Oreochromis niloticus: one gene and its partner. The main gene of each other region encodes a partner of the protein of the gene in region 2 in a complex. Links are inferred from orthologs where the notes say so. Each region holds a gene or a part of one and is shown on either strand. Other genes may lie near its edges. The genes, in order: pes and bop1.

Region 1 (9,260 bases), on a different chromosome or scaffold from region 2:
CCTTTCAATGTTATGAGGACTACAAACAAAAACACATCAGAGGTCTTTTACACTTTTTAAAACAATGTGACTCACCTCTAAGTAACTTTCAGAATTCATGGCATAGTCATCCTCACTCTCTTCCTTTGGCTCTGATTCTGCATTACTGTCCAGCTGCAAAATGAGAGGCGATATTAACCGATGGCAGGTCTGCTTACATATCACCAGTTTATAATGAATCCTTTTTATATTACAGTCTATGATACCTTTGGTGGGTAGACCAAGTTGAGAGAATTGTAGAGCCTGAAATTGACAAAGCCCAGCAGAGTGGTGTACAACTCTGTGAATGTTGCCATTACTCTGTAATCAACATCAACGGGGTGCTGAAAGGGAAACAGATATTAGTGTGACCAAGTTTCAGAGGTACATTTACAAGTGTGAGTTCAATCACAGTCACTTCCAACATAATTTTTTAGTATATTCTAATTTTAAAAACACACAAGCTGCTCACAAGTTAAAGCCATAAGCAAATTCAGTTTTCTTGTTCATAGGAGCCACACATTTCTGATTCTTAATGAGCAGGCAAGTCATTAAGGACAATTTTTTATTTACGATGTTTGCCTGGCAACCTATGTTATAACCCCACAGTAATAAAGTGACTGCTTATTATTAGCACTGTCCCTGTTGACTGCAATTTGCCAAACTGCACTTACATCATGGGAGAACTGATATGGCACCACCCATGTAATGAGCTGTCCCATCACCTCAGCCTGATAATATATTCCCTTGATGGAGAGGAAAACCTATCAAAGTAGACAAACATTTAGTGCATTACAGAACACAGGTCAATCAACTCTCACTGAGTCAGATCAATAACAGGCTGGTGAACTTGCACCTTTCGCAGAGAACGTGATGTGATCACATAGTTCATCCACTCCACAGTGAGCCGTTTGCACAGCTGGATTGTCTGCACATGACATTTTCCTGTTCGAGCAAAAGTGGAGAAGAGGAAGCACATGCAGAGGGCATCGTCGATATCACGGAGGGCATCAATGAAGGTTGGATACCTGCCAAAAAAAGAAGCACAAACAATATTTGTGAGGTTTTGTTTTTGTTTTGTGTTTTTAACAAAAACATCTTCCCTTTCAAATAAAAAAAAAAAAATCTGTTAAATTTCAATTAAAGCTTTAAAAAAAATCTACTGACAGACTACTAAAGATCCTGTCCTACTGTTACCCTACAATTTCAATTTAATTCATACAGTGGCAGAGAAAAAAAGATCAACTGTGCCCTCTTATGTTCAGTGTGAAGAATAACCACCCCACCTTTCTTTGATGATGTGATCCAATTTATAGGTTGGCTTGTTCTCTCTCAGTCTTTCCACTGCAGACCACTCTGTTTTTCCATAAGCCTTCTTAAGCTTACGCACAAATATCTATAAAAAGAAAATAACACAGGTACAAAAAAAGACTGTCAACCAAATTTAAATCAAACTATAAAACAAAGACATGATGAGGAAAAACTGATTAAAACAAAGTGTTTTAAATATCCTTTTTGTAGAGGTAAAGCACACTAAGGCACTGGTTTCTTATGTAAGATACCTTGTACTCTCTGAATTTTCCAACAATTGGCTCATGGAGCAGAAAGCGGATGTCCTTGAGCAGGTAGAAGGTCCTTGGGGCTGTAGAGCCTTTGTTCACCTTCTTCTTGTGCTTTGGCTCATGAGGATATATGCCTTTGAGAATGCAAAGTCGCCTGAAAATCAGAGAAGAGAAATCATTTGTCTGCAACAAGGTTCCTTTCTGGGAAAGCCTTGCAACTGGAAATCGAGATTTGGAACAAACTTGGAGAAAAGTAAGTTGCTGTGATGTAACAGAAACAGAAACTAATCTGGTGTTTATAAAAAAATCTTAGTAATATTGGCATGGAGAGTAACATTTTCAAAACCAGGGATTTATTTTGAAATTACCAGCCACTGCCAAATATTCTGATCACATTCACTAAAAATTTAAGACACCTCAGAATTTTTTGTTAAATTAATATATGCACATTATATGTCAGATGTGATTTATGGATATAGTGCTGATCATAAAGAATATCACTAGGTGCAGATCCATTATTAACTACTAACATAACTTTATCTCACTAACTTGGGCGTCAATACATTGTTCCTTGTTGAAGGTAACAAGGTTTTTACTGAAATGCTAATTAAACTTTGCTTCACTTTTGAGGATGCATTAATACTTTTTGCATTTCACTCACTTTTTTCAAAGATGCGAGAAGCAGAAGTAGTGAAAGAGGAGTTTTAACGCTGGGGTCAACCATCCAAAGCAACAGTGCACAAGAGAGGTTAAGAAGAGAGTGCAGGGCAGATGGAAATGAAGGTCAGGGGTGATTTGTGGCAGACGGATAGCAGCAAGAATGACAGCTAAGGATTGCAAGATGGTAGTGAGACCTGCTGTGAAGTATAATTTGGACAGGAGGCCAAGCTGGTAGAGCTGCTGAGATTTTCAACTTTACAGTAGGAATGTAAGAATTGAGTACATCAAAGGGACTGCTAAGATTGAGCAGAGACAAAGTTAGAAACAAGGCTGGGATGGTTTGGACATGTGTAGAGGAGGGACGGTGGATGATTACTGGACAAAGGATGTTGATGGAGCAGATGTCTGGCAGGTGGAAAAGAGGAAGACCACAGAGGAGATTCATGGATGTAGCGAAGTACATGCAGAGTGTTGATGTGAAAGAGGAGGATGCTAGGGACTACTGTTGTGACCTCCAAAGCCAGGAGCCGAAAAGAAATGCACTTTTGTTTGACTCTGCACACATGTCTACCTTGTTCAATACACAGCACAGTTCAATACACAGTTTCACAACAAACAAACAAAGAAAACCCACTGAGTTGAGTTTTAAAGACTGTGTTGTAAATGGGCCCTAGCACCTTTTTCCACCCAGAAAGCGTTAGCTACTATACAATAACGAGAAACTAATATAGTGGCGTCGGGGTATGAATATATCGTGATTTAAAACACAGACAGACAGACAGACACACACACACACACACACACACACACACACACACACACACACGTGTAAAAATGCTAACTGCAACGTTACCTGAAGTCCGGGAGGCTGAGCTGCAACTTCTTTCGAGCTCTGTTTCTGGTGATGTAGTTGGTGGCAGAGCCCCTCTCAAACTGGAAAACATAGGAAGATGCTCATATTCAGCACAAACAGTATGTGTTAACAAGGCACATAAGCTCACCCGAGTCCAGGAGAATCTACTGTTTGAGAAAAACAAACTTCAGCTAGCTGTTAGCTAACTGGATAGTCAGACTTTTGGTAATAAAACGCCCGACATTACACGAACACCCACACCTACCTTTTTCTTTTGAAGACCTCCCATTTAGAGACCGTTTCTAACCCTCCACAGAGTTTTATCCAATTGTAGTTGTTTTCACAAAGTACACGATTCGCAATGTTACACAACAACGACCGACACGACACGCAGCAAATGCACGTGCGGCTTGACATGCGCGAAGGAGATGGCCCAAACAGCAGGACCCATGGGTGGGCCGTTGATCTGCCTGTTTACAAAGGAAAGCCGCAAAAGGGTTTTGGACGTGAAACATTCGTACATACACTGTATGGAAGGTTTACATACACTCATCAATGGCGTGTGCTTTTTACGGAAGCGTAGAGCTGCCACCCAGGCAAAAGAAAAATAGAAGTATATCACGTTATAACGTGAAAAGTTTATTGTTCTAACAAGATACTTTTCGCATTTGAACAACATAATATGACGTTATTACAATATACATAATTATCACGTTCGTACAATATAATATTTATATTGTACGAACGTGATATTTATATTGTACGAACGTGATAATTATGTATATTGTAATAACGTCATATTATATTGTTCAAACGTCAAAAGTATATTGTACAAACATGAAAGTATATTGTACAAACATGAAAAGTATCTTGTTAGAACAATAAACTTTTCACGTTATAACGTGATATACTTCTATTTTTCTTTTGCCTGGGTGGCAGCTCTACGCTTCCGTAATACAATAAGCGCTTAAAACAAACAAACAAACAAACAAACAAACAAACAAACAAACAAACAAAAAAACACCTTTTTATGACGGAAAGAGAAACTACCACTTGTAGCCAGTCATTATCACTAAAAATAAGTTCATAGGTCATATAAGTGTCAGCATCATTTAAGAATTAAGCGAGTGTATATGTTTAAGCTTTTTATGTTTAAGGATTGGAGAAAATCCAAAATAAATTCAAACTTGTGCACTAAGTTCTTGTTTCATCTTTAAAAGCTCAAAATTACCATCACATTAATAGCCAGGATGAGTGTATGTAAACTTCTGACCACAACTATAAGTGACAGCACTATTTTTTATTATATTACTATATATAATAAAGGTACCTGTTCGCCCTGCAGGCAGTCTTTATGCCTCAAGCTTGGGTCCCCTACCAGAGGCCTGGAAGCTTGAGGGTCCTGTACAGTATCTTTGCTGTTCCCAGGACTACACTCTTCTGGACAGAGATCTAGAATATCATTCTTGGGATCTGCTCAAGCCACTTGCCCAGTTTGGGAGTCACTATCCTGAGTGCTCTGATTACCACTGGGACCACTGTTGCCTTCACCCTCCACATCTTCTTAAGCTCTTCTCTCAACCCATGGTATTTCTTGAGCTTCTTGTGTTTCTTCTTCCTGAAAATGTTATCCTAGCAACATCTTTCACTGTGGCCATCTTCCTCTGCTTGTCCAACACTACTATGTCCAGTTGGTTAGCCATCACCAGTTTGTCTGTCTGTAACTGGCAGGCTCTTAGCTCAGTCATCATCAACCACCATGGAGGGCATATCACATTTTGACCTCATGACTTTCAGGCCATACTTGGCACAGATATTTCTCTATATACCAGCTACCTGGATTTGCTGCCATCTAGCATCTTGCACCCTGGTGTTATGTGTTGGAGTGTCTCAGGGACATCTTTGCACAGCTTGCACCTGGGGTCTTGCCTGGTGTGGTACACCATTGCCTCTATGGATCTTGTACTTAGAGCTTGTTCCTGCGCTGCCATGATTTGTGCCTCTGTGCTGTCTTTCAGTACAGCTTTTTTCAGCCATTGGTTGGATTTCTTGATAATAGACACTTCTTCTATCTGCTGGTGGTACATGCTGTATGGGGGCCTGTCCTTCCATGATGGTTCCTCTTCTTGCCCTTTCTATTTCTCATGTTTCTGCTGCCTGAGGTATTCACTAAGCACGTGGTCATTCGTTGGCATCTTCCTGATGTACAGGGGTGGTTGTAGCTCAGAAGGTAGAGTATCTACTAATTGGAAGCTTGGTGGTTTGATCCCTGGCTGCTCCAGACTACATGCCAAATATTCTTCGGCAAGATACTAACACCTTGTTGCTCTCCAATGCATCCATCTCAAGTGTAAATGTTTGATAGAAAACACTTAAGCATAGAAAAAGTGCTTGTATGAATGGGTGTGCATGGGTGAATGAGGCATGCTGTATAAAGCGCTCTGAACGCTCTGATTGGGTAGAAAAAGCACTTGTACAGTTCTAGGCATTCCAGGATCCACATGTAAGTCATTGAGTCAGAGGCTCTCTTGAAGTCAGTCCAGGCAGTGCATAGGTTGGTCGGTCTGGTCTTACAGTTACTGATCTGTCTACCAGTAGCTGTTGTTTCCCCCCCACTGAGTTTTTCTGCCAATTCCTGCCCTGCTCATGTATTGAGCCATGTGCCTGTTCATTTTGCTATGATGCCTGACAGAAGCTTCCATGTACTGCAGCAAGTTATTGGCTAGTAGTTGGATAGGACCAGTCAGGACTGTCCGGCCTTCAGTTAGCCATTCTCGTCGTGTCTCATCCATTAGCAGGTGGTTCATTTGTGCTTCAGAGATTCATGAAGGGCAGTTAGCTTCTTTAGTCAGTATCTGTGTATCATGTCAAGGCCTGGTGCTGTCCAAATCTTCATGCTTATGACCCTTTCTTGGATGCCTACTGCTGTGATGGTTACTGGATCTTATCCAGGGAGGTTGCTGTGGTCTGCTCTTAGAGCCACTAGCCACTGAGCATTATTGCTATAAGTTGCATCTCGCACATGGTCTTCCAGTACTGCTAGGTCTCCAGCATTGGTGAGGCTGTTGTTCTCATATTGTTTCCCTGCCACTGAGAGTACCTTGAATGGTTTATTCTCCTGGCTTCGAACTTTCTGGTATACCTTTTCAAGCAGCTACCCAAGGCTGTGAGTCTTTGCTTGGCAGTTTCTAAGACCTCAGGTATGGACAGGTTGTTGTACTTCTTCGGCATCCCTTTTTTCGTCACACCTTTCTGCAGGTTTGACCGTTGCTCATAAAAATCCAGACCAACACACTCTGATCAAAACCAGTAATTTCAAGCAATTAATAGATCTGCAAATTTTGACAATTTAAAACAATGTATGTGCAAAGTAAGACAGTATGTAAAAAGAAAAGATAAAAAACTAATAACAAGAAGATGAGAGTTAAAAGAGTCTTGCACAGGGAGAAACTGATCCAGGCATAAAGCTGATTTATCAGAATAGAGTGGCATAAAAAATGAATCCTGCCTTCAACCACATCAGGACCCCACCCCCTACTCTCTTGTTCACTCACTGGTGCCAGGGATGCTTGAGAGAAATGCAGGCTGGAGCTGAGAAAAAGACATGATGACAGAAATTTAAAGCTAAATATACAGATTCAATCATAAGACTTCACAAGAACATCTGAGGATATGACGGAAACATGCCATAAAATCATCATGGGGCTACATAACTTCCTGAAGGAGTATATTCATGGTTTTTGGGACTATGAGACCCCCAAGGTGATGGTGGTTAAGAACAGAACTCTTGGCGTGATTTACAGGAGTGTTCAGTTTCTTGTGATCACTTATTTCATATGGTAAGCTTCACTTACATTTGCATGTCTAATGACTGGGTGTGTGGACAATGTATGAAATTCAGGTTTATTTTGTCTTTTCTACATTTTTTCTGTTAGATCTGTTGGTCTGAATGTGTTTTCTTTTAAATTTAATTACAGTAAAATTAAAAGCATTTTTTAAATGAATAATATTCATGCAGATGAAATAAATACACTACGGCTTTAAATTTTAACTAATGCAGTGCAGTTTTGTGGGGAGGAAATGCATCCCATTTGCAATTAACAGCATAAAATTCAACTATCCAACTGAGTGTGACTCATCCAGTCTCTATATTATCAGAGATTTAAATGCTATCCAAGGAGAACAGATGTAAAGTGTTTCAGATTTGAAATAAACTAAATGCTCTGAAGTGAGCATCTGAAAGTACATCATCACCTTTTTTGTCTTCAGCAAAGAGGGCTGAGCAGATCCAGGGTAACATGACACCGCCAATAAAAATTGACATCATGGTAGAAAATGTGATATTACCTCTGTCTCTTCTATCATCCTGAAGGTATGTCTTTATAAGTCAGAAAGCATACCAAGAGAGTGAAACCCGTCCAGAGAGCTCTGTTTACACTCTCATGAAAGGCTCAGCAATTCATGGAGATGAGATCCTGGACACTGTGGAGTATGCCCGACCCTCAGAGGTGATTTCTTCATTAAACTTGTGCAGCATAGCTCATGCTTGAGTTAACCACACTAAGTCTTTTTTGTCCCTTTTTGTTTAGGGTGGCGATGTGATTAGCACAATACTGAGACGAGAATTCACGTTCAATCAGAGACAAGACACCTGTGCTGAGGTGAGAAGTCATCTAAAATCTACTGAGTAACAAAGACACCTTTTTCCTCCCATCACTGTCATCTGTCTCTATTCACTTTAGCATTTCAATGTTGCCGATGCCAACTGCACCACCGATTCTGACTGCGTCGAAGGGGAAGTCAACTTCAATGGCCACGGTAACGTTTTCACTTCTTATCTAATTTTTCTTCGTGGCTTTTTTGGTTTGTATTTGTCACCCCTTGTTTCGAAACACTCTCCTACAGGCAGAAGGACGGGCAGATGTGTTCAGTACTACAACCACACCTTTAAAACCTGTGAGATACAAACCTGGTGTCCGATTGAGGAATACGCTGTAGTACGGTAAGATGGGCGTTACAGAATCACCATCAGCATCATGTCAGGTTTATATGCATCCTTCTAAAAATCCATACAAGTTCTGAACAGACTCAAACTGAGCCTAAATATCCCAAAACATGGGAAACTAACATGAAATAAAATAAAAATTGGTGGAGCGATTTATTAAAACGTGTAAACATACATGGAAATGAAAGATACAAAACAAAACCAAAATGGTACAGTTCTAACAAGCTTGAAAGTCAATATTTAGTGTGAACACACTCAGCCAAGCTTTCTTGTAATTTCTTTAGGTAGTCTTTAGGAATTGAGAGGGCGGTGAAGAATATGTAGGATGATAGAAAAACAGCGGTGAGGTGTGTGGTAGGAGTGACAGATGTTTTCAAAGGGGGTGGGATTACATCAGGGATTGGCTCTGAGCCCTTTCTTGTTTGCAGTGGTGGGCAGACCGACAGATAAGGTCAGGCACGAGTCTCTGTGGACTATCAGGTTCACAGATGGCACTGTGATCTGCGCTCAGAGTAGGCAGCAGGTGGAAAAGAGCCTGGAGAGGTGGAGGTATCTTCTGAAGAGAAGAGGAATGAAAGTCAGTGGAAGCAAACAGAATGCGTGTGTGAATGAGGGAGGCAGATGTAACAGTGAAGCTGCAAGGTGGAGAGGTAGTGAAGCAAGATGAGTTTAAAAACCTGGGTTCAAACATCTAAATCCACAGTGCACAAGAGAGGCGAAGAAGAGAGTGCAGGCAGGGCGGAGGGTGTTAGAGGTGATTTGTGACTATGATAGCAGCAAGAGTGAAAGGTAAAATTTACAAGAGATTTGGTTTAATGTATGATTTTGACAAAAAGCCAGGTGGCAGAGCTGAAAATGTTAAGATTTTCATTTAAATTGACCAGGATGTGCAATATTAGAAATGAGTACATACAGCATACAGCAGTTTTGAGATAGGGAAGTTGAGATGGGGCCAGAAAGTCTGCTGTGGTGATCTCTAAAGGGAGCGACTAAAAGAAAAAGAAAAAGCATTGATTTCTGTTTGGTTATGCTTTTACTGCAGTGGCAATCTTAAGTTTGAATTCTTAATATTATGCTACAAAAATGGGAAATACTGGAGCTTCCACCCCCCAAAAAAGATATCACTTGTGCAATAACTGATAAAATTAGTAAAGCATTAAAT
Region 2 (9,257 bases):
TAGCCCACATGTGGTGTGAGTGGTGAACCCAAGGATGTGCATCGGGCGAATGGCAGGAGTACCGGTTCAGTACTCTGGCTGCCTGTTATTGTTTGACACATTAATGTAATTCACATAAACAGCAGCGGCAAGTGGGCGAGGCACCATTTGAGCAGTTGCAATGGTTCACCTAGGTGGCATGTTACCTGGCAGTCGATGCTACCGTCGCAGCGCAGGCTGTGGGGCAAGCAGGTGTAGATGCGGGTGTAGCGAGACAGGCAGGGGAACTGGTTCAGGCTGCAGGGCTGGAAGGAGAATGGCGAGTCCACACACATCTCTTCATCTGAATTGTCACCGCATTCGTCCATGGAGTTACAGCGCCACCAGTCTGGGATGCACTTCCCATTTGAGCAGTGGAACTGGTCCACATCACAGCTGGATGCCAGCGGCTTACCTGCAAACACAACAAATCTTACTTGTTTCCCATCCAGGAATAGCCTCTACTCCAGTTACATCACCAATACCACATCCCGTTTCCTCACCGCTGATGTATGACAGTCTGAAGCCTTTTCCCGTCAGGCTGTCATCCGAGTGGAAGTGGATCCACAAATGGTCCTGAGAGGAGATGTAGGGTGGTGGCAAGGAGGAGCCACAAACCCGGAGTCCATCCAGGTTCCTGTAGCTGCTGATGGACATCCAGTCTGAGGTGCAGCGATGGGAACCCTGTAGGTCAAAGTCCTGGAAGCTGCAAAGACAGAACAGGGAGGGCATCATGAGAGCAAAGATGGGGTTAAAATGAGGATTTGGTTGTTGCTTTTTACTCTGTGACCTGATGTGGATGTGGCAGGTGTAACTATGGAGACAGTAAGTGCAGTACCTGATGGTGATGGCATCTCCAGGTCGTGCCCTGATATTCCAGCTGCAGTTCATTCGGGCTGGATACTGGAAGGGCCATCCGGGGCTGGTGATTATACCGCTGGATGCCCGCAGGAGCTCTGCCACGTCACTGCAGGCTGGGGGGCAGGGTCGGACTGTTAGTGTGACACTGTGTGTTTGTGGGTGTGTGTGTGCCATTAGTGCTGCTCTGATGTCATGAATGTGACCTCACCATTAGAAATCCCTGACACATAGACATTTTCATTCCTCTGAGAGGCAGAAAAGCATCCTGGGGAAAAAAAACACAACAACACGTGGTTAGAAGTGATTTCATATAATAATAATAATGTAATAATGTATACTTTATTGATCCCCGTGGAGAATTTCCTCTCATCATTTAACCCATTCACTCAGTGAAGCAGTGGGCAGCCACTGGCTGCCCGGTACGCAGTGTGTAGGGACGGTACCTTGCTCAGGGGTACCTCAGGGTAGCTGTTCAGTCGATTCGAACCCTCGACCTTCTGATCATGGGGCCACCACTCTACCTACTGAGCTATCCCAGCTATATTGATAACAGGGTGACATACAGCTGATGAACAGCTGGATAATGCTGTTCCTTAGTCTGTTAATTTTTGTCTTTATGGATCTGAAATGTCTGCCTGAAGGTAGATGTTGAAACAGTACATGACCAGAGTGCGATGGGTCTTGAAGGAATTTGTTAATCTTCCTGAGAAAAGAGGAGGAGAGGACATCTGACTATCCGCTAGGCAACCTGTACAACTCTGCGTAATGCTCTCTTCTGTGCTCCTGTGCAGCTGGAAAACCATGCACAGAGACAGTATGCCAGGTGATCAGGCTGATTCATGAGCCGCTTATTTGTACATGTTTAGATCATGGACTCAGATTATCCCCACCCTTTTTATAAAAATGGCTTGACAGTGTGATGAAAACGCTTGCCTCTGTCCCCCTTGAAGGTCAGATAAGGACTTTTGCAATCAGTTTACAATTATATTATGAAGCTTTGAGAGTTTTTGCTGCAGCCATCTTGCTGTTTTAAAACCACATCTGAAGAGTGAGAGCTGGAGCTCACTGTGAAACTGCCGCATCATTGGCTAATGACCTGCCAATCAGTCATTAGCATATCCTTAGTAATCAGGACTTCATATTTAAATCACTCAAACAAGTGACTGAGCCCCTAAACTAATCGGGAACATCTTTACGGAGGTCAGAGGTCAGGTTTCACACAGACTTGTATAGAACTACAGGTAATTGGCCTTGGTGACCATTAGAAAAAAGAATGCATGTTTTGCTTTTCACATACACAAGCTTGGGCCATCGTTTATCCTGTCTGTGGTCTCAACACAGTGTTCTACATCCAGCAAGTTCTTGTTAAATGTTACATGTAAAAAAGACATAAAGTTAAACAGGATGGATAAAATGTTGAAGGAAGATAGCAGATGATACTTAATGGGAGGACTCTATTTTGAAAATTTGGCATCTTAAAGAATGCTCAATCTTGCAGGGTCAAATAGCTGGCCAATGCTCAACATTGTTAATTTTCAAAAAATGATAATCAAATGTTACAAGTTTGACCACCAGGGGTGCTGTTATGCCAGTTTTAGTGTAGTTGTGTCATAAAGCAGTCTAAGGTCAAGTGTTGCAGTGGTTACAGCTGTTACAGGAAGAAGGATCAGACTTCCTGTCCTTTCTGTGGTATCTGTTCTCCTACAGACTAAAGAAAAGCTTGCTGGTCAACTGGTGATTCTTATTGGTGGTAAGTGCTAGCCCTGTGACGGACAGGGAACCTAGTCAGGTGTACCAGCCTGTCATTCTGACTCCAGCCCAAAGTGGTTAAGAGAAGGTGGTCCCTGTTAAGATACTTGTGAAGCCCTGATCACTTACATAGACCGTTTCATTATCATGATTGGTATTATTACTGAACCATGCTCAACATCTTCAAGCTTTAATAGAAACTGATTGATATCTGCCAACTGCTATGCTTACTACACAGAAGAAATGAAGAATGACTGTAGTGACACCTGTCCATTGATCACAGCAGACCAAATGTAAAGTAATCTGTAAGAGCCATTTCCAGCTGTTCTGAGCCACCACTAGATGTTCTGTCCTTCCACATCTGCCTCTCCATTGTACTTCCTCTTTCTCTACTGGTGGATTCAGAGCAGACTGGATGGTGCAGTAAGATCTGTACTGTGAAATATTACAGATTTAGGTCCAGGTTTTTGGGACATAAAATCTTGGTGATAATAAGTGCCCACAATCACTTCTTGCCACATGTCCATGTTAAACATTAAATTAAGTAACATTAGCTTGTGATACTCTGTCCTTAAATGGTTACAGGTGTACAGCTCTGCCCTCCTGCAATCTTCCAGAACCACTTTATTCAAGAGAAAGTAAGTTGTCAGGAAGGGGGAAGTCTTAAAGAGACCGGACCCGGCGTCATCAGAACAAAACACAAGTGTACACACTTGAAAACAGGTCAGTCTGCACTCACCTGTGAGGAGGAGGAGGCAAACCACACCCTGCCTGCAGTCTGTTTTGAGGGCCATGATAACCCTGATGTTCTGATGAAGATAATGGTGAAGAGTCCAAGGTCACAGAGCTGAGCGCTGCATGTCAGCTGTTAGCAGACCTCGGCTCCGAACCGAGCGGCTACCGAGGATAACGGAGCTCCCCGATAAACCCGGCATTCAATTAACACAGACGCGAGCCGCTGAACGTGACGTTAACGCGGAATCGAGCTGTGCGGGGGGTACGCAGCGGGACATACTGCGAAGAACCTCGGTTAGCTCGGAAACAAAGACCCGCTAGCTGCCGACTAACAGGCTGACGCTAAGAACACCGGCCCGTTAGCTTCAACATGCTAACGGGACAGAGTCATCCGACCCAGAGGGGGGGGGGGCGAACCGGGTCAATCCGAGCTCACGGGACCTTCACCGAGTCAGCAGCACTACTGTCGATCTGATAGAAGTCGTGAGCGCATTTCCGTGCGAAGCTGTTAGGTTTTAGCTTCCGTCGAGCCGAACAACAACAACAGACCGCAGAGAGAATCCCCGCCCCTTTGACAGTGGCGTCACTAACATGGCCCCGCCGTTTTTGTCATTTGTTCGTTTATGTGAACTTCCTGTTTCCTGAAGATGTCAAGGCACTTCATTAATCACAGAGCCGAACTTCCTTCAAATATTCACTACATCTATGTAGTGAACATATGGCCGTGTGTTTAGTTGAACCGGTTCTTCTAAAGCGCTTTTCTACTGCACTTGAGCACTCAATATGCCTCATACAGCAACTCATAAGCTTTACATGCTTAAGTGCTTTCTATCTAACATATCTGCATGTGTGTCAGTAACTGAGTTAGTGTGTGTGTGTGTGTGTGTGTGTGTGAGAGAGAGAGAGAGAGAGAGAGAGAGAGAGAGATTTGTCACTAACAGATGCAGTATTTGCAGAACAGAACATCTGTTGTCTGTGAACCCTCAGAGGTGCTGCAGCACTCACCTCCCCAAACACACTCACACACACACACCCTTTGCTACCCACTTTGTGCTGGACCTGCAGCCTGCAGCTGGAAGCAGTTTTTTCTAACAACTCTGAGATTTTTAATCCTCAGCTGAAACTAGCTTTTCTGTTCCACGCAGAGATCCACCTTCAGCTCTGTGAACCTGACCTGCTCTCTGGCAGCTGTTCCCTCAGACTCCTCACCTCCTGCTGCACCTGGACCAGCTAACTGACCCTGTGACTGATTTCCTCAATCATGAAATCAGAGCTCAGAGTGGAGAGAATTCATCTGCTCGAGTTTCACGAACAATAAAAAACACAGATGTTAGTTTGTTACACAAGAGCTTTAATAATGAATCAGTCATCAATATATTAGGACAGGGACCACGACTCCATCAGTGATTGATTAGCAGCTCAGATTCAAATCTCCATTCTCCATCTTTGTAGCTGAGAGACTGAGTGGACAGTCTGATTGTAATCTGATCAGGAAATTAGAACATTTCATATGAAATAAAATCACACACACAGACACTCAGGTTCATGTGCAGACTCATGTTATGGGATTTATTATATGAAAAGTGGAGCTGTACAAGAATTGAAGTACCCCTGATGGAAGGATGCGGGATGCAGGATACGGTCTCAGCGGATTTTCTTCCTGTGTGAAGACAGAGTGAAGTGAGGGCCTTAGCCTTTGATTTCAGCAACCGTTAACTAATGTAAACATGAAGAAACGCTTCAGAGATTGTCAGCTCAGATTTATTGTGTTTTGGATGACTGCATATCCTGGTTTAAAAGCTTTGACTTACTGACATATTAACACCTGGTTGGTCCATGGGCTTGATCAGTCACTGAGCTTTACTCGCTTTTAAATGACTTCATGTTCACATTGAGATTTTTTTTTTTTTACTTCCGGTTAGTATAAACATGATTTCTTTGTCTTTATTTTCTTTCCGTTGCGGATTTTCTTTCGGCAGAGGTCCTGTCACTGTAACTATGACGTTCTGCCAGAAGTTCAAGGCGTCATCAGCAGGCCCCGCCTTCAACCTGTGACGCGTGACCTTTAACCTTCGGTTTCACGTGGTTGAATCGAGGAGGACAGAAACGCGTGGAGCGAGCGGAGAGGAGAGATGAAGAAAGCAGGGGAGAAAACTGCGTTGAAGAGGAGTAAAGAAGAGGAAGAGGAACAGAACCAGGTGAGCCACACACACAGAGGAGGAAAGTGATGAAGATCTGGTAACGTGCTAGTAACGAGCTAGCATGCTAATACGGGGCAGGCTGCTGTTTAGCCCTCAGAGCAGACACGGAGCGAGACCTGAACCATGAGACCGGACCGGGGCGTTGCTGCTTCTAAAATAAACACAGAACCATCCTCTGTGCACATGTGTGATGTCAGCCTCGGGTTAGGGCTCTATTATAATGTCGGAGTTTTAAAAGGAAGACCTCCTCAACTTAGATTTTAACTCGCATTGTCGGAGCAACCTCACCGACCCAGAGCTAACGATCCAACATGGAAGCAGTGACGTAAATGGCAGCAAAACTGTAACGGAACGAGCACTGTAGCAGGTAGTGTGTCAGGGTACATGTGTACGGTTAGTGTTGCACTGAGTGACGTCAATCCTGAGCAGAGTACAGAAGGTTTTCCTGATTTTTCATGTTTTGCTTTTAGTTGCTGGTTGTTTGATTTAAGTGTGTGTGTGATCACTCACAGATTGCACAGGCAATTAGCTTGTGCTAATGATTTGTAGGTTTTATTTTTCTTATTTTTAATTACACTCACAGCCAAAAACTGATGTTTTTTTTCAATTGTGTCTCTGTAATTCTGGGTTTTCCTTCTCAGATCTTCAACTTTAACAGGAAACCTGCTGATGAAGATAAGGATGATGATTTATCAGATAGCGAGGACAGTGTCTACTCAGGCCTGGAGGATTCTGGGAGTGACGCTGAGGGGGAAGAGGGATCCGAGGAGGAGGAGGAGGATGATGATGATGACAAGGTACAGTGTCAGCAGCTAAGTTTTAACTGTATTTGTCTGACTGCTGATTGGTTGCTGTTAAGTGTCCTCAGTGTTCTGCTGCAGAACATCACCTGAACTTTGTTCCATCTGTAGATGAAGGAAAGAACGGAGGAAGAAGTGAGTGAAGAAAAGAAGGAAGATGAGTATGAACATGACTCTTCAGATGAAGAGGTGATCAAAACTTATTCATGTGTATGCTTGTCATTACTTTTCTTATGCCTGTGTCTGGTGTATTGTATGCAATTTTAGCCACATGCACACTAATAAAAAGCTGGGAGATTTTTGCTCCTGGTCCTTGCTCTTTTGTGTGTGTGTGTGTGTGTGTGTGTGTGTGTGTGTGTGTGTGTGTGTGTGTTTGCATGTGGGGGTGGATCGATGGACACATAATTGGCCAGTCTCTGGCCAGAATTTGCTGCAGTCTGTGTGTGGTTATTGAGTCAGTGATTATGAGTCTCTCACTGATCGATGGATATACTGCAATGAAAATGCAGCTGACGGTATCTTTGATGCTTAGTAGGTCAGTGCACCAGGTTCTGATGTTTGGTTTATGATGAGAGCTCACTTAAGAAACCATTCCACCTTAAACCTTTCGGTAGCTGCTTACCTTCAGTGTTGTAGACTCATGTCTATATGCAACAGATCCTGGGTGAAGCTCTGGAGTTCTCTGTTTCATGTTGACCTTTTATTAGCCTGAAAAAGCTGTGATGAAATGACATGAAAACTAGTTCATGCATTTATTATTTCTAGGTTGGACTACTGTAATTTGTGATTACTAGGATGTCCTAAAAACTCCCTGAAAAGCCTTCAATCGATCCAAAATGCTACAGTGAGAGAACTTACAAGGACTAAAAAGAGAGAGTATATTTCTCCTGTACTAGCTTCTCTTCATTGGCTCCTGTTAAATCCATATTCAAATTTAAAATCCGGCTTCTGACGTACAAGTTCTTGAATAATCAGGCCCCATCTTATCTTAATGACCTTATAGTGTACCATATCACCCCATTAGAGCACTTTGTTGTCAGACTACAGTCTTACTTGTGTTTCCTAGAGTATTTAAAAGTAGAATGGAAGACATAGCCTTAAGCTTTCCGGCCCCTCCTCTATAGAACCAGTTATCAGTTTGCATGCGGGAGACAGACACTATCTCTACTCTTAAGATTAGGCTTAAAACTTTCCTTTTTGCTAAAGCATATAGTTAGGGCTGGATCAGGTGATCCTGAATCCTTCCTTAGTTATGTTGCAATAGGTGTAGACTGCTGGGGGATTCCCATTGTTTCTTTTTTTTAGTCAACTTTTTCACTCACTTTGTGTTTATACACCCCTTTGCATTTAATTATTATTTATTAAATGCTGCGTAGTTCTGCTGGAGTTTTCTTCCTGTTAAAAGGGAGGTTTTCCTTCCCACTGTTTTCACAGCGGTTGCTCATAGGGGTATTGTTGCGGTTTTCTTTTCTTTTTTGTTTTTGTTGGGTCTTTACCTTACAATATAAAGCACCTTGAGGCAACTGTTGTTGTGATTTGGTTCTACATAAATAAAATTGCATTCAGTTGTGGGGAAAAAGGTGATTTCAGGCCTGCTGCTCTCACTGCAGTTATTATGAAGGTCTTTCAGCACTGAGATTGGAAGCATCTGGCTCACATCGCTCTAGACCCTCATCAGTGTTGTGTGTCATGCATCTGGAGTATAAAGTGAACCTCACGCACTAAAGCACACTTTAAAGATGGATCCACCCCGTTCTTATGGACTACACTGCTTTTATATGTCTGATCTGTTCCTTTGGAATTTTGCTTCATGTTATGCTGTGTTGTGTGTTGCTGGATGTGCCTTGTGATATATGTGAGCATAACTAAGACAAACCCCTGTCAACTGTCCTGTTAAAGTGGGTACAATACAACATGTTTTGTACAGGATACTTGTTCCTTTACACATGTTCTGATTGGTGCATTGGCTTCTTTTATGTTCCCCTCTCCATCCTGTGGTGGTTTCTCATGCTCACATTGTCCTTCAGGATATCAGGAACACAGTGGGGAACATTCCTGTTGAGTGGTACAAAGATTTCCCTCACATTGGGTACAATCTGGATGGGAAAAAAATCTACAAGCCAATAAGGAACAAGGATGAGCTTGATGACTTCTTGGATAAGATGGAGAACCCAGAGTACTGGTGAGCGGTTAGCATGATGCTAACTTCTTCATAGGTTTGATAGGGAATGCTGATGAAGCTAACAGCTTGCTGTCTGCAGGAGAACAGTGCATGACAAGCAGACAGGAAGTGACATTGTGCTGTCCGATGATCAGGTGGAGCTGGTGAACCGTCTGCAGAGAGGACAGTTTGGAGACGTCAACTTCAATGAGTATGAGGTATGCCCTCCTAGAGTGACACCGGGGTTCCGTTCACTAGCCTTGAGTTTACCTGCTTAATCCATCCTTTAATAGCCACATGTCCCAGACCATCTAGCAAGAAGTGAGCGTGGCTTAAAAATGTAGAACACACTGGTTACCTGTCTCTTTACACCTCTTCCGCAGCCAATGGTAGAATTCTTCAGTAGCGACGTGATGATTCATCCCATCACCAACAGACCGGCAGACAAACGCAGCTTTATCCCCTCGCTCACAGAGAAGGAGAAGGTAATGCACCTGACTCACCTGGCTTACCTGGCTGCTCTCAGCTGTAACTGTAACTCTGTAACACACCTGTCTGACTGCAGGTGTCCAAACTGGTCCATGCCATAAAAATGGGTTGGCTCAAACCCCGGCGGGTAGAGGATGATGGCAGGGGGCGGTATTACGACTTGTGGGCCAGCGAGGACTCTTCCATTCTGGCCAGACATAGGATGCACCTGCCTGCCCCCAAAATCCCTTTACCTGGTCACCA

The links.
Region 1: bop1 (region 2) and pes share a complex: the UniProt entries of both Homo sapiens proteins name them as parts of the peBoW complex. The link is inferred for Oreochromis niloticus from reciprocal best matches to the Homo sapiens genes BOP1 and PES1.

The regions. Positions count from the first base shown.
Region 1 is NC_031977.2:17,857,067-17,866,326, forward strand, and holds the start of pes (pescadillo), read right to left. Parts: upstream 3,551-9,260; 5' UTR 3,383-3,550; coding exon 3,359-3,382; intron 3,174-3,358; coding exon 3,094-3,173; intron 1,735-3,093; coding exon 1,581-1,734; intron 1,415-1,580; coding exon 1,305-1,414; intron 1,047-1,304; coding exon 875-1,046; intron 783-874; coding exon 693-782; intron 363-692; coding exon 246-362; intron 154-245; coding exon 76-153; intron 1-75. Other genes in the region: p2rx2 (P2X purinoceptor 2), read left to right, coding at 6,766-6,932, 7,466-7,601, 7,683-7,754, 7,836-7,911, 7,999-8,095. UniProt on the Homo sapiens protein: Component of the PeBoW complex, which is required for maturation of 28S and 5.8S ribosomal RNAs and formation of the 60S ribosome.
Region 2 is NC_031985.2:36,130,077-36,139,333, reverse strand, and holds the start of bop1 (ribosome biogenesis protein bop1), read left to right. Parts: upstream 1-5,383; 5' UTR 5,384-5,495; coding exon 5,496-5,561; intron 5,562-6,205; coding exon 6,206-6,361; intron 6,362-6,475; coding exon 6,476-6,553; intron 6,554-8,391; coding exon 8,392-8,546; intron 8,547-8,625; coding exon 8,626-8,743; intron 8,744-8,908; coding exon 8,909-9,010; intron 9,011-9,090; coding exon 9,091-9,257. Other genes in the region: lrp12 (low-density lipoprotein receptor-related protein 12), read right to left, coding at 186-433, 522-724, 857-992, 1,088-1,144, 3,368-3,422. UniProt on the Homo sapiens protein: Component of the PeBoW complex, which is required for maturation of 28S and 5.8S ribosomal RNAs and formation of the 60S ribosome.